Linked DNA regions of Caenorhabditis elegans. The protein of the gene in region 1 binds, or shares a complex with, the protein of each later gene. Each region holds a gene or a part of one and is shown on either strand. Other genes may lie near its edges. A codon is read from its position in the direction of its gene.

The links.
Region 2: the proteins of ced-9 (region 1) and egl-1 are in contact, whole or in part, in a crystal structure (PDB 1TY4), measured with the Caenorhabditis elegans proteins. Residues at the interface, in NP_499284.1 of Caenorhabditis elegans: Met119 (codon at 2,555), Ile122 (codon at 2,564), Phe123 (codon at 2,567), Lys126 (codon at 2,576), His127 (codon at 2,579), Phe131 (codon at 2,591), Phe134 (codon at 2,600), Gln137 (codon at 2,609), Leu138 (codon at 2,612), Val141 (codon at 2,621), Asp151 (codon at 2,651), Val152 (codon at 2,654), Arg154 (codon at 2,660), Thr155 (codon at 2,663), Val156 (codon at 2,666), Ala159 (codon at 2,675), Thr161 (codon at 2,681), Gln163 (codon at 2,687), Ser167 (codon at 2,699), Tyr168 (codon at 2,702), Gly169 (codon at 2,705), Arg170 (codon at 2,708), Ile172 (codon at 3,245), Gly173 (codon at 3,248), Leu174 (codon at 3,251), Phe177 (codon at 3,260), Arg219 (codon at 3,386), Leu227 (codon at 3,897), Gln230 (codon at 3,906), Met231 (codon at 3,909); in NP_506575.2 of Caenorhabditis elegans: Ser63 (codon at 2,875), Ile65 (codon at 2,881), Gly66 (codon at 2,884), Tyr67 (codon at 2,887), Glu68 (codon at 2,890), Ile69 (codon at 2,893), Gly70 (codon at 2,896), Ser71 (codon at 2,899), Lys72 (codon at 2,902), Leu73 (codon at 2,905), Ala74 (codon at 2,908), Met76 (codon at 2,914), Cys77 (codon at 2,917), Asp78 (codon at 2,920), Phe80 (codon at 2,926), Asp81 (codon at 2,929), Gln83 (codon at 2,935), Met84 (codon at 2,938), Met85 (codon at 2,941), Tyr87 (codon at 2,947), Ser88 (codon at 2,950).

The regions. Positions count from the first base shown.
Region 1 is NC_003281.10:10,333,020-10,338,182, forward strand, and holds ced-9 (Apoptosis regulator ced-9), read left to right. Parts: upstream 1-2,152; coding exon 2,153-2,404; intron 2,405-2,452; coding exon 2,453-2,713; intron 2,714-3,244; coding exon 3,245-3,394; intron 3,395-3,881; coding exon 3,882-4,061; 3' UTR 4,062-4,503; downstream 4,504-5,163. Other genes in the region: jmjd-4 (Jumonji domain-containing protein 4), read right to left, coding at 1-109, 160-409, 459-596, 649-769, 816-999; mev-1 (Succinate dehydrogenase cytochrome b560 subunit, mitochondrial), read left to right, coding at 1,259-1,345, 1,457-1,819, 1,873-1,971; ttr-15 (Transthyretin-like protein 15), read left to right, coding at 4,854-4,998. UniProt on the Caenorhabditis elegans protein: Plays a major role in programmed cell death (PCD, apoptosis). egl-1 binds to and directly inhibits the activity of ced-9, releasing the cell death activator ced-4 from a ced-9/ced-4 containing protein complex and allowing ced-4 to activate the cell-killing caspase ced-3.
Region 2 is NC_003283.11:14,430,752-14,434,490, reverse strand, and holds egl-1 (Programmed cell death activator egl-1), read left to right. Parts: upstream 1-2,131; 5' UTR 2,132-2,195; coding exon 2,196-2,201; intron 2,202-2,476; coding exon 2,477-2,642; intron 2,643-2,860; coding exon 2,861-3,009; 3' UTR 3,010-3,183; downstream 3,184-3,739. UniProt on the Caenorhabditis elegans protein: Plays a major role in programmed cell death (PCD or apoptosis) by negatively regulating ced-9.

The DNA.
Region 1 (5,163 bases):
AATCCTGGAGCTCCTCACGAACATCTAGCTCCCTCCGGCTCAAAAACTCCTGTACTAGATGAAGATTCGTGCTGTTCATCCAGTTATGATTGATGGAAATTGTGTCTTCCTGGAATTAAATGATGTCCTTCTAAACTGAGAGATAAATAGTTGATATACCAAATTGTGGGCCTGATGGTACCAATTAGATGGGACAAACACAATTTCTCCGGGCTCTTGAACGAATTTTATCACTTTTGCCTGCTCGAATAGCCGTTCATACTCCCGAATGTCATCCACAAACCCCGACTCTGTAACGCTGCTCCGAAACAGATTTTCACTGCCTGGGGGCATCATAAACCACTGTTTTCTGCCGCAAATATTCGCTGACCAGCTATGCGATGAAACTACGTCGGAATGAAGTTTTGTCCTAGAAAGTTTGAGGGGATTTCTAATTTTTAAGAAAATTCCAAGGCTACCAGGATCCAGAAGCTCCGATATAAACGAATCGATAGTCGTCACCAAATGGATTTTCCGATTTCTCACTAGTCCATGGCTCACAATTTACAAAATCTCGAGAAAAGAAAGGATGCAAGGAGTATGAAGAGGTTCCGAATCTAAATATTTTAATTTAAAAAAATCAATTTCGAATTGAAATTCAACTCCTACTCGTTTTGAAAATGCCAATCCTTTAAGTAAACTTCTGGATCGCCCATTTCTTCCAGAAATTCCTTCAAAGTAGTGGTTTTGTACTGATTTCCTCCGCAAAGAATAGGAACTTTCGAATCTCCTGGAGCGAAACGGGATTTTCATAACAAAAAACTATCCAGACAAACCATAGGACTTTTTCAAATATTCCTTATTTGGCTGTCCATTTGGAAGCACCCAATCTTTAACGGCTGTCCAGCCAGAAGTGCTCCACTCGCCAAGGATAAAAGGCTCATTTTTGAAGCCGAATTTTACTAAAATCTCTAGCCATGGAGTCGATGGATCAGAAATTCGAGGAATTTTAGATTTCATCTTGAAATTTGCAATGGAAAAAATAATTATTCAAAGAAAATCACAGAAAATGCAACAAAAAAAACAAAAAAAGAACAAAAAACAAGTCGAAAAGTGCGCCCGGGTCGTTTGCTGACGCATCTCTTCAAACGAGACGCGCTGCTGGCGCACTTCTCGTGCCCTGTGCGTGCATTTCCGCAACAAAATTCAACACTTGTTTTGAAACGCACCGCCCTGTTTCTTTTTTCAATTTTGATAAGAAAATCAGCATTGTTTCAGGATGATTAACATTCCAACTGCGATTCTGTGCCGCTTGGGCGCCAGATCGTCGATTTCCCGCTCCTTTGGAACATCGATCGTCACCAAGGTGGGGATTTTTTGAATTTTTCCGTGAAAATTGTTGATTTTTTGTGTACGCATGAAGGAGAAATGTATAACAGACACATTCTTTTCAATTAATTATTTATAATATTCACAGTCCGAGGCAAAGACGCCAATCCAGAAGTTCGGATGGGAATACCTGTTGAAGCAGCGCTCCAAGAATCGCCCAATCGCTCCACATCTCACCGTCTACCAGCCACAATTGACCTGGATGCTCTCCGGATTCCATAGAATCAGCGGTTGTGTAATGGCCGGAACCCTTCTCGTCGGAGGAATCGGATTCGCAGTTTTGCCGTTCGATTTCACCGCTTTTGTGGATTTCATCCGTAGCTGGAACTTACCATGCGCGGTGACCGCTGTCTTCAAGTACATCATTGCTTTCCCCATCATTTTCCATACTCTTAACGGAATTCGCTTCTTAGGATTCGATTTGGCTAAGGGAGTCAATAATGTTGGACAGGTAGGAGTTGAAATTATTAATTTAATTGTTTTAAAATAAAAATTAATTTTCAGATCTACAAATCGGGATATCTCGTATCTGGACTTTCGGCTATTCTTGCTCTCGCCATTGTCTTCAACTCTTGCCAGAACAAGAGCAACAAGACTGCCTAGGCACAGATGCTCCGCCTTCTTTTTTCTTACTCCGCCCCAGCCCTCGACAATTCTCGTCAATTTACTTTTACCGTTGATTTCTTCGATTTTCTCTCTTTTCCGTAGATTTACCTCTCCTCTTCGTTTTTTTTTCTCTGTCTAGAATGTATATTATGATTATGAAAACGAATAAAAATTTTAGATGACACGCTGCACGGCGGACAACTCGCTGACGAATCCGGCGTATCGGCGACGAACGATGGCGACTGGCGAGATGAAGGAGTTTCTGGGGATAAAAGGCACAGAGCCCACCGATTTTGGAATCAATAGTGATGCTCAGGACTTGCCATCACCGAGTAGGCAGGCTTCGACGCGAAGAATGTCCATCGGAGAGTCAATTGATGGAAAAATCAATGATTGGGAAGAGCCAAGGCTTGATATCGAGGGATTTGTGGTAATTTTTTAATTTTTTTTTGTAAATAAAATTTCCTGCTGCTTCCAGGTCGACTATTTCACGCACCGAATCCGGCAAAACGGAATGGAATGGTTTGGAGCACCGGGATTGCCGTGTGGAGTGCAACCGGAGCACGAAATGATGCGAGTTATGGGAACGATATTCGAGAAGAAGCACGCGGAAAATTTTGAGACCTTCTGTGAGCAGCTGCTCGCAGTGCCCAGAATCTCATTTTCACTGTATCAGGATGTGGTTCGGACGGTTGGAAATGCACAGACAGATCAATGTCCAATGTCTTATGGACGTTTGGTAAGGGAGAAAATACTGAAAAAAAGTTTGCAAAAATTCGAAAATTCGCCAGAAAGGTGGCAGAAAAAACATTTGCAAAAATTGTTTGTTTTCCTTCAGGAAATCAGCAAAACTTGGTCAAAAATAGCCCAATTATGTGTCTTTTTTGAAAGTTTTCCATTAAAAAACCACGAATTTTGATCCCGGATTGTAATTTTTTTTGTTGATAAATTAGCAGAAAACTTTACGAATTCGATTAAAAACGTTATTTTCTATTCGAATATTTTTAAAGCATATTTTCCTTGATTTGTATTTGCGAAAAAGATCTGCTGATTTATCAAAAATCGGTTTTTAAATGTAAAATTTGTGGAAAATACATTAAAATTCGATTTTTGAACTTTTTTCTTCGAAAAACAGGTTTTTCTGCTGATTTGCTGAACGAAAAACCCCAAAAATTCAATTTTCGAACATTAAAAACCAGAAAAATCGTTTTTTTAAGCTTAATTTTCCGCCAGAAATGAACGAATTAAATTGCAAATTTCTAATTTTCAGATAGGTCTAATCTCGTTCGGCGGTTTCGTAGCTGCAAAAATGATGGAATCCGTGGAACTGCAGGGACAAGTGCGAAACCTCTTCGTTTACACATCGCTGTTCATCAAAACGCGGATCCGCAACAACTGGAAGGAACACAATCGGAGCTGGGTAAGGAGTATTTGCATAGACATTAGAAGTCAATATCCCCCTTTCCCTAGTACCCTTGACTTCCCGGGGTGTTGGTAAGCCGATAATTACAGGGTTCGGTAGCCTCTTGGGGGGACAGCTGGAAACATATTCAAGTATATTACTGTTTATGATAATGTTATTGTTACGGGAATACAAAATTCGCAGAATGCGTATTTCACAACATATTTGACGCGCAAAATATCCAGTAGAGAAAACTACAGTAATTCTTTAAATTTTTAAAATTTTTACAATTAAAGAAAATAACCACTAATCAAAAGAAATTAATTTCAAAAATCGAGCCCGTAAATCGACTACAGTAGGCATTTAAAGAATTACTGTAGTTTTCGCTACGAGATATTTCCGCCTCAAATATGTTGTGAAATACGCATTCACGGATTTTTGTGTTCCCCGGAATATGCTCTAAAGCATTATTTGTGAAAATAAAAAATCAAGAAAAAAATTGCAGGACGACTTCATGACACTCGGAAAACAAATGAAAGAGGACTACGAACGAGCAGAAGCTGAAAAAGTGGGACGCCGGAAGCAGAACAGACGGTGGTCGATGATTGGCGCTGGAGTAACAGCTGGAGCCATTGGAATCGTTGGAGTCGTCGTGTGTGGGCGGATGATGTTCAGCTTGAAGTAACGTATTCAATTTGTGTAAATAATTAATTTATGTACAACTCCTTACATTTGAATCTCATTTTTGCTCACTGATTCTCTCATCCTTTGAACTGGAAGAAGTGGGAAAGCTAGGCCACAAATTACGGCTCTCTGTGTCGATTTACGATTTTACTGCAATTTTTTCCGATTGCCTTTTTTTTTGGCCAAACCCTACTTCCGCGTAATATCAACTTTTCCGTGTTCTGTACATTTCGTCAAAAACCCTGAAACCCTAACTTTTCTCGCCGTGGCCTAGCCTCCCGCTTCTCTTCCACATTTCCAAAGTACCCCTGTATCTCAATAATTCATCTTCACTTTAACTGTCTCTTTTCGTGTGGCCTCTTCCAACTCCCCCCAAATTCCTGTACGCGTACGCGACTTTGTATTTATTTTTTTCAAATTGTTTTCTCTCTACAACAACAAAAAAAACGGTTCTTTTATTCAACCCTTTTTTCGGAACGAAACTGCAATTTTGATAATAGGCGTGCGCAAGAGAATCCGGTTTTCATTTTCGCCATCACGTCATCCAAAAAAGTTTAGTAGGAAAATATCATTTTTTAATATAATGATTCATCTTTCTCGCCTCTTCTGTCTCGAGACGACGGTCAATTCGATGGCCTTGAATTTTTCGAAACAAAAATGTTTTTGTTTAGTGTAAACGATCCCCCCGCCTTATCGCTGTTTCACCATCAGATAGGCTCCGCCCATTTTGATTCCCTTGAATTTTGTCGGTATATAAAACAAAAAACGTTAGTGCACGATTCAAAAAACAACAATGCGTGCTTTACTATTCACCTCTGTTGTTCTTTTGGCTTTGGCTTTTGTTGAGGCAAAGAAGCAGACTATCACTGTCAAGGGTACAACTATTTGTAATAAGAAGAGAATTCAGGCGGAGGTTACCCTTTGGGAGAAAGATACTCGTGAGTTTTCAGTCTTGTTTAGCTTGAAACGGCTTAAAAAGGACTAAAAAGGCCTAAAAATTGAAGTTTTCCACCTGTTTTCAAAAGAAAGCCGAATTGCACAGCTTTACACGAGATTTCTCAATAATTTGTATTTGAAATTTTCATATTCATCCCCAAACGTTC
Region 2 (3,739 bases), on another chromosome or scaffold:
GTTACAAGCTACCAGTTTACAAAACAATAATTGACAGGTAATCGGAGTGAAGACAGTTTTTTGCCTTTGATAATTTTACATTCACATTTAATTTTACATTCACATAAAAAAAGAATCACACATTTTTTTCAATTGACAAGTTTTTGATAAAGTGGAAGACATCGGAGATATGACCCGTCAAAGTTGCTCAGCAGGGTGCAAAACTAAAAGAGGAAATACTGTGAAACATTTTGACAATTTAGAGAAATACACAGCGAAAGAATGAAATCTAAAAAAGCGTATTAACTTTAACTAGATAAACATACTAACTTATTGAGGTAAATCTGAGCAGATCCTCTTCCTATTCCCAATATTTACCCAATTAGTCTTCTGATTGCGCACCTGCATATCTTAAGTACTCAAATACAACACACATCTTGAGAAATGATGACTCCACACTCAGAATGCAATTCACACTATTAGAAGCCATGTGCAATATGAAAACAAGCTTATCCTGAAGCTGCAAACCCATTTACCTCATCAATTATTTGCGATGTGCCGACCTGTTGCATGGCTTCCGACACTGTAAGGGGATAATCTGTTTGTCGGCACGCTTCAACCGATTAATTGGCGTGTGAAACGATACTAATCCAGTCGATTCTCGACTAACTGTAAACACTTTGATGCTAACCGACGTGCCGGCTAATATACTCTCTGTGTTACGTCAGAATCCTTTAAATATGCAAATATGGATAAGGTGGAATGATCTCAAGAGGTGTGATTGGGTCAAATTGGATTACGTAATTCTTAAGTGGGCTAAAGGTATACTGTAACTGGGGTGCAATTTATGTGGGAAGTGCGGCGAAGTTATATTGGGGTTTTATAGATTCTATAACTTGTTACATTGATTTTGAATAGATTTCAATTTTCAGAAAAGTGGGAAAACTGTATTTACATTTTGAAAGAAATTTAATGCAACAGAAAATAGTGATTGGCTGGAAAAGTGCCCCTATGTTATAAACTTTTTGTTGAAGCTTTGAAATTTTTCACAAATTATTCAACTGAAGTCTCACACGTCGAAAAATGGCCAAACAAATTTTTAAAAAATAGAGGCCTGATCATAGTTTCTGCCATTTCATGGCCGTCTGTGACGTCACATGAGGTTTTTCGACTATTTGGCTTCCAGGGTTTTACCTGTTTTTAATTTCAAAATTATATATTCTTCAGTAAATCTCTGAAAGTCACAGTCGTTTCAGCGAACTTTCAAGGCCGCGTGTGACGTCACACTCTTGCAAAGAAAGCTGCACGTGGTGTCAGGTTGTCCCATAACGGTTTGCTCTACGAAAAATGCGGGAATTTTTTCATCAAAAAATGTGACGTCAGCACGTTCTTAACCATGCGAAATCAGTTGAGAAGTCTGCGTCTAAGTTCCCGCGTTTTTTGTAGATCACAACGGAATGGGACATTCTGACACCATGTGAAGCTGGCCTTGAGATAGTTTTGTAGATTCAAAATATTTTTAATGTCCAATATTTGTTTTCAAAACATTCGTTAAAATGTGCAGAATATGTTAAACTGAAGGTTCCTAGGTTTAAAACTTCAAGCTAAAGCTTTCCGGCTCAGTTCTCAGGTTCAGGTCTGTAATCTTTCTGTAAGCTTGTAATCTTGTTAGTTCCTCAGACAGACTTAGCTGCTAAATTTATTTCATGTCTAATATTACACTTCAAGAGCTATGAGTTTGTCTTCATAAAAGTTTTGGCTCCCATATAGGAACTTTGGAACATCATTTGATCCCCGTTTCGAAAACGTTCGAAAATTGTTTTGTTTCTTTATTTAAACCCGACAGTTCAAATTCTTTATCTTGATCAAACCCTTTTTTTTCATCTGTCCATTCCTCGGCCTTAACCTAATTTATACAGTTTCGCAATAACCTCCCCCGTGCTTGCTCCAGTACCAGCTGTTGCGTCACGACTTCTTATTTTCAAAACTCAAATCTTGCATCACACCTCATCAATTAATCATCCTCATCAAGCCTGCAAACTTATACCCCCTTCTCTAGACCCCTCTCCTGACATTTGACACTCCTGTGGTAGAGGGGTGTGGCCTTGCCTGGGCGGGGCGTGCAATGAGAAGCTGTGCACGCACACCATTCATTCACACCCAAAACATTCACACCGATTAGTCGTATTCTAACTTCTCTTTTCAATTCAGTTGATATGCTGGTAAGTCTAGAAATTATTTATTTTTGATCTACATACCTGTCCAATATTGTTCGTCTCCCCCTCCCCCTCCTGAGAAACAAATTTTTGTTTTTGTCTGCTCGCCTCACCCTCAACCTCTCTCTCTCTGGATGTGTTCGTGGTGTAGAAACAAAAACAGATTTTTGTTTTTTTGTTTTTTGTTTCTTGTTTTAGAACTTGTATCCTAGTAATTGTTAGACATCTCCCTACTATCTTTCCCCTATATAAACCCCCTTCAAAACCTTACTAATTTCCAGATGCTCACCTTTGCCTCAACCTCTTCGGATCTTCTACCAATGTCCAACGTTTTTGACGTTCAATCTTCCGTTTTCTACAACGAAAAGAACATGTTCTACTCCTCGTCTCAGGACTTCTCCTCGTGTGAAGATTCTTCTCAATTTGCCGACGACTCGGGATTTTTTGGTGAGTTTTTTTTGTTTTGATTAGACTATAGTAAAAATGATTTTGAAAGTATTTCAAAAAGTTGTCAAAATTATGAAAGCTGATCATATTCCAAGTATTTTTTGCAATTGAAACTTTTCAAATAAGACCAAAATTAAATGTAATATTTGTTTTCATTTTTGAGAAATAAAAAACAAAAAAAAAAGTTGAATCCTATTCTAATTCATTCCAATTTTCAGATGACTCTGAGATCAGCAGCATCGGCTACGAGATCGGCTCCAAGCTAGCAGCAATGTGCGATGACTTCGATGCTCAGATGATGTCCTACTCGGCCCATGCTTCCGACAGAAGCCTCTTCCATCGTCTTCTGGACTTTTTCGCTTTTTAAGTGATCAAAATCTCCAACTTTTCTCCAATTTGTACCATGATTTCTCATAATACCCGGTGTTTTTTCTTCATTTGTGATTATTTTTCGATCTCTCCGTCTCCAACTCCCCTCAATATTTGTACCATAGTCCTTTATTGCTCATATTTATCTAATAATAAATATGGTTTTTTTTAAGAAATGTGTGAATAGTTTGTTTATATATTTCAGGGTTATAAATTGAAAAAAAAGAAGAAACGGAAAAATGAAAGTATGCCTACGATTGTATACTTTTGTTTTCAATTTCGTTTTCCGCCTGCAACACCAGATGTGAATAAAAATTGAAAAATTGGGAATGAGGGCTTCGAATATAAGTATAAAGGCAGGAGTAGGCACAAGGCAGGCGAAGGCACAAGGCAAGCAGATATTTGTGAACCGAACGTGGATGGCATTGTTAGAAATGTGTAGCATTTGGAAACAAGAACCTAAACCGTCAAATACTTGGAAACTTCAAAACATGTCGACTTCCATTCCTTAGGCTACCGTATTACTTTGACAACTCAAATATCGATTCATACTAGAGATATCAAAAAAAAATCTGTTACAATATTGTAGGAAAAGACATAGCAAATATTATGTCAGTTGAAAAATTTCTGGCAAAACGAATGACAATCGAGACCGATGACCTGGCCAATTGTGCGTACCCAATCTGGCACCAAGCATAACTACGGTATCGTTTTTCCCGCATGAATCA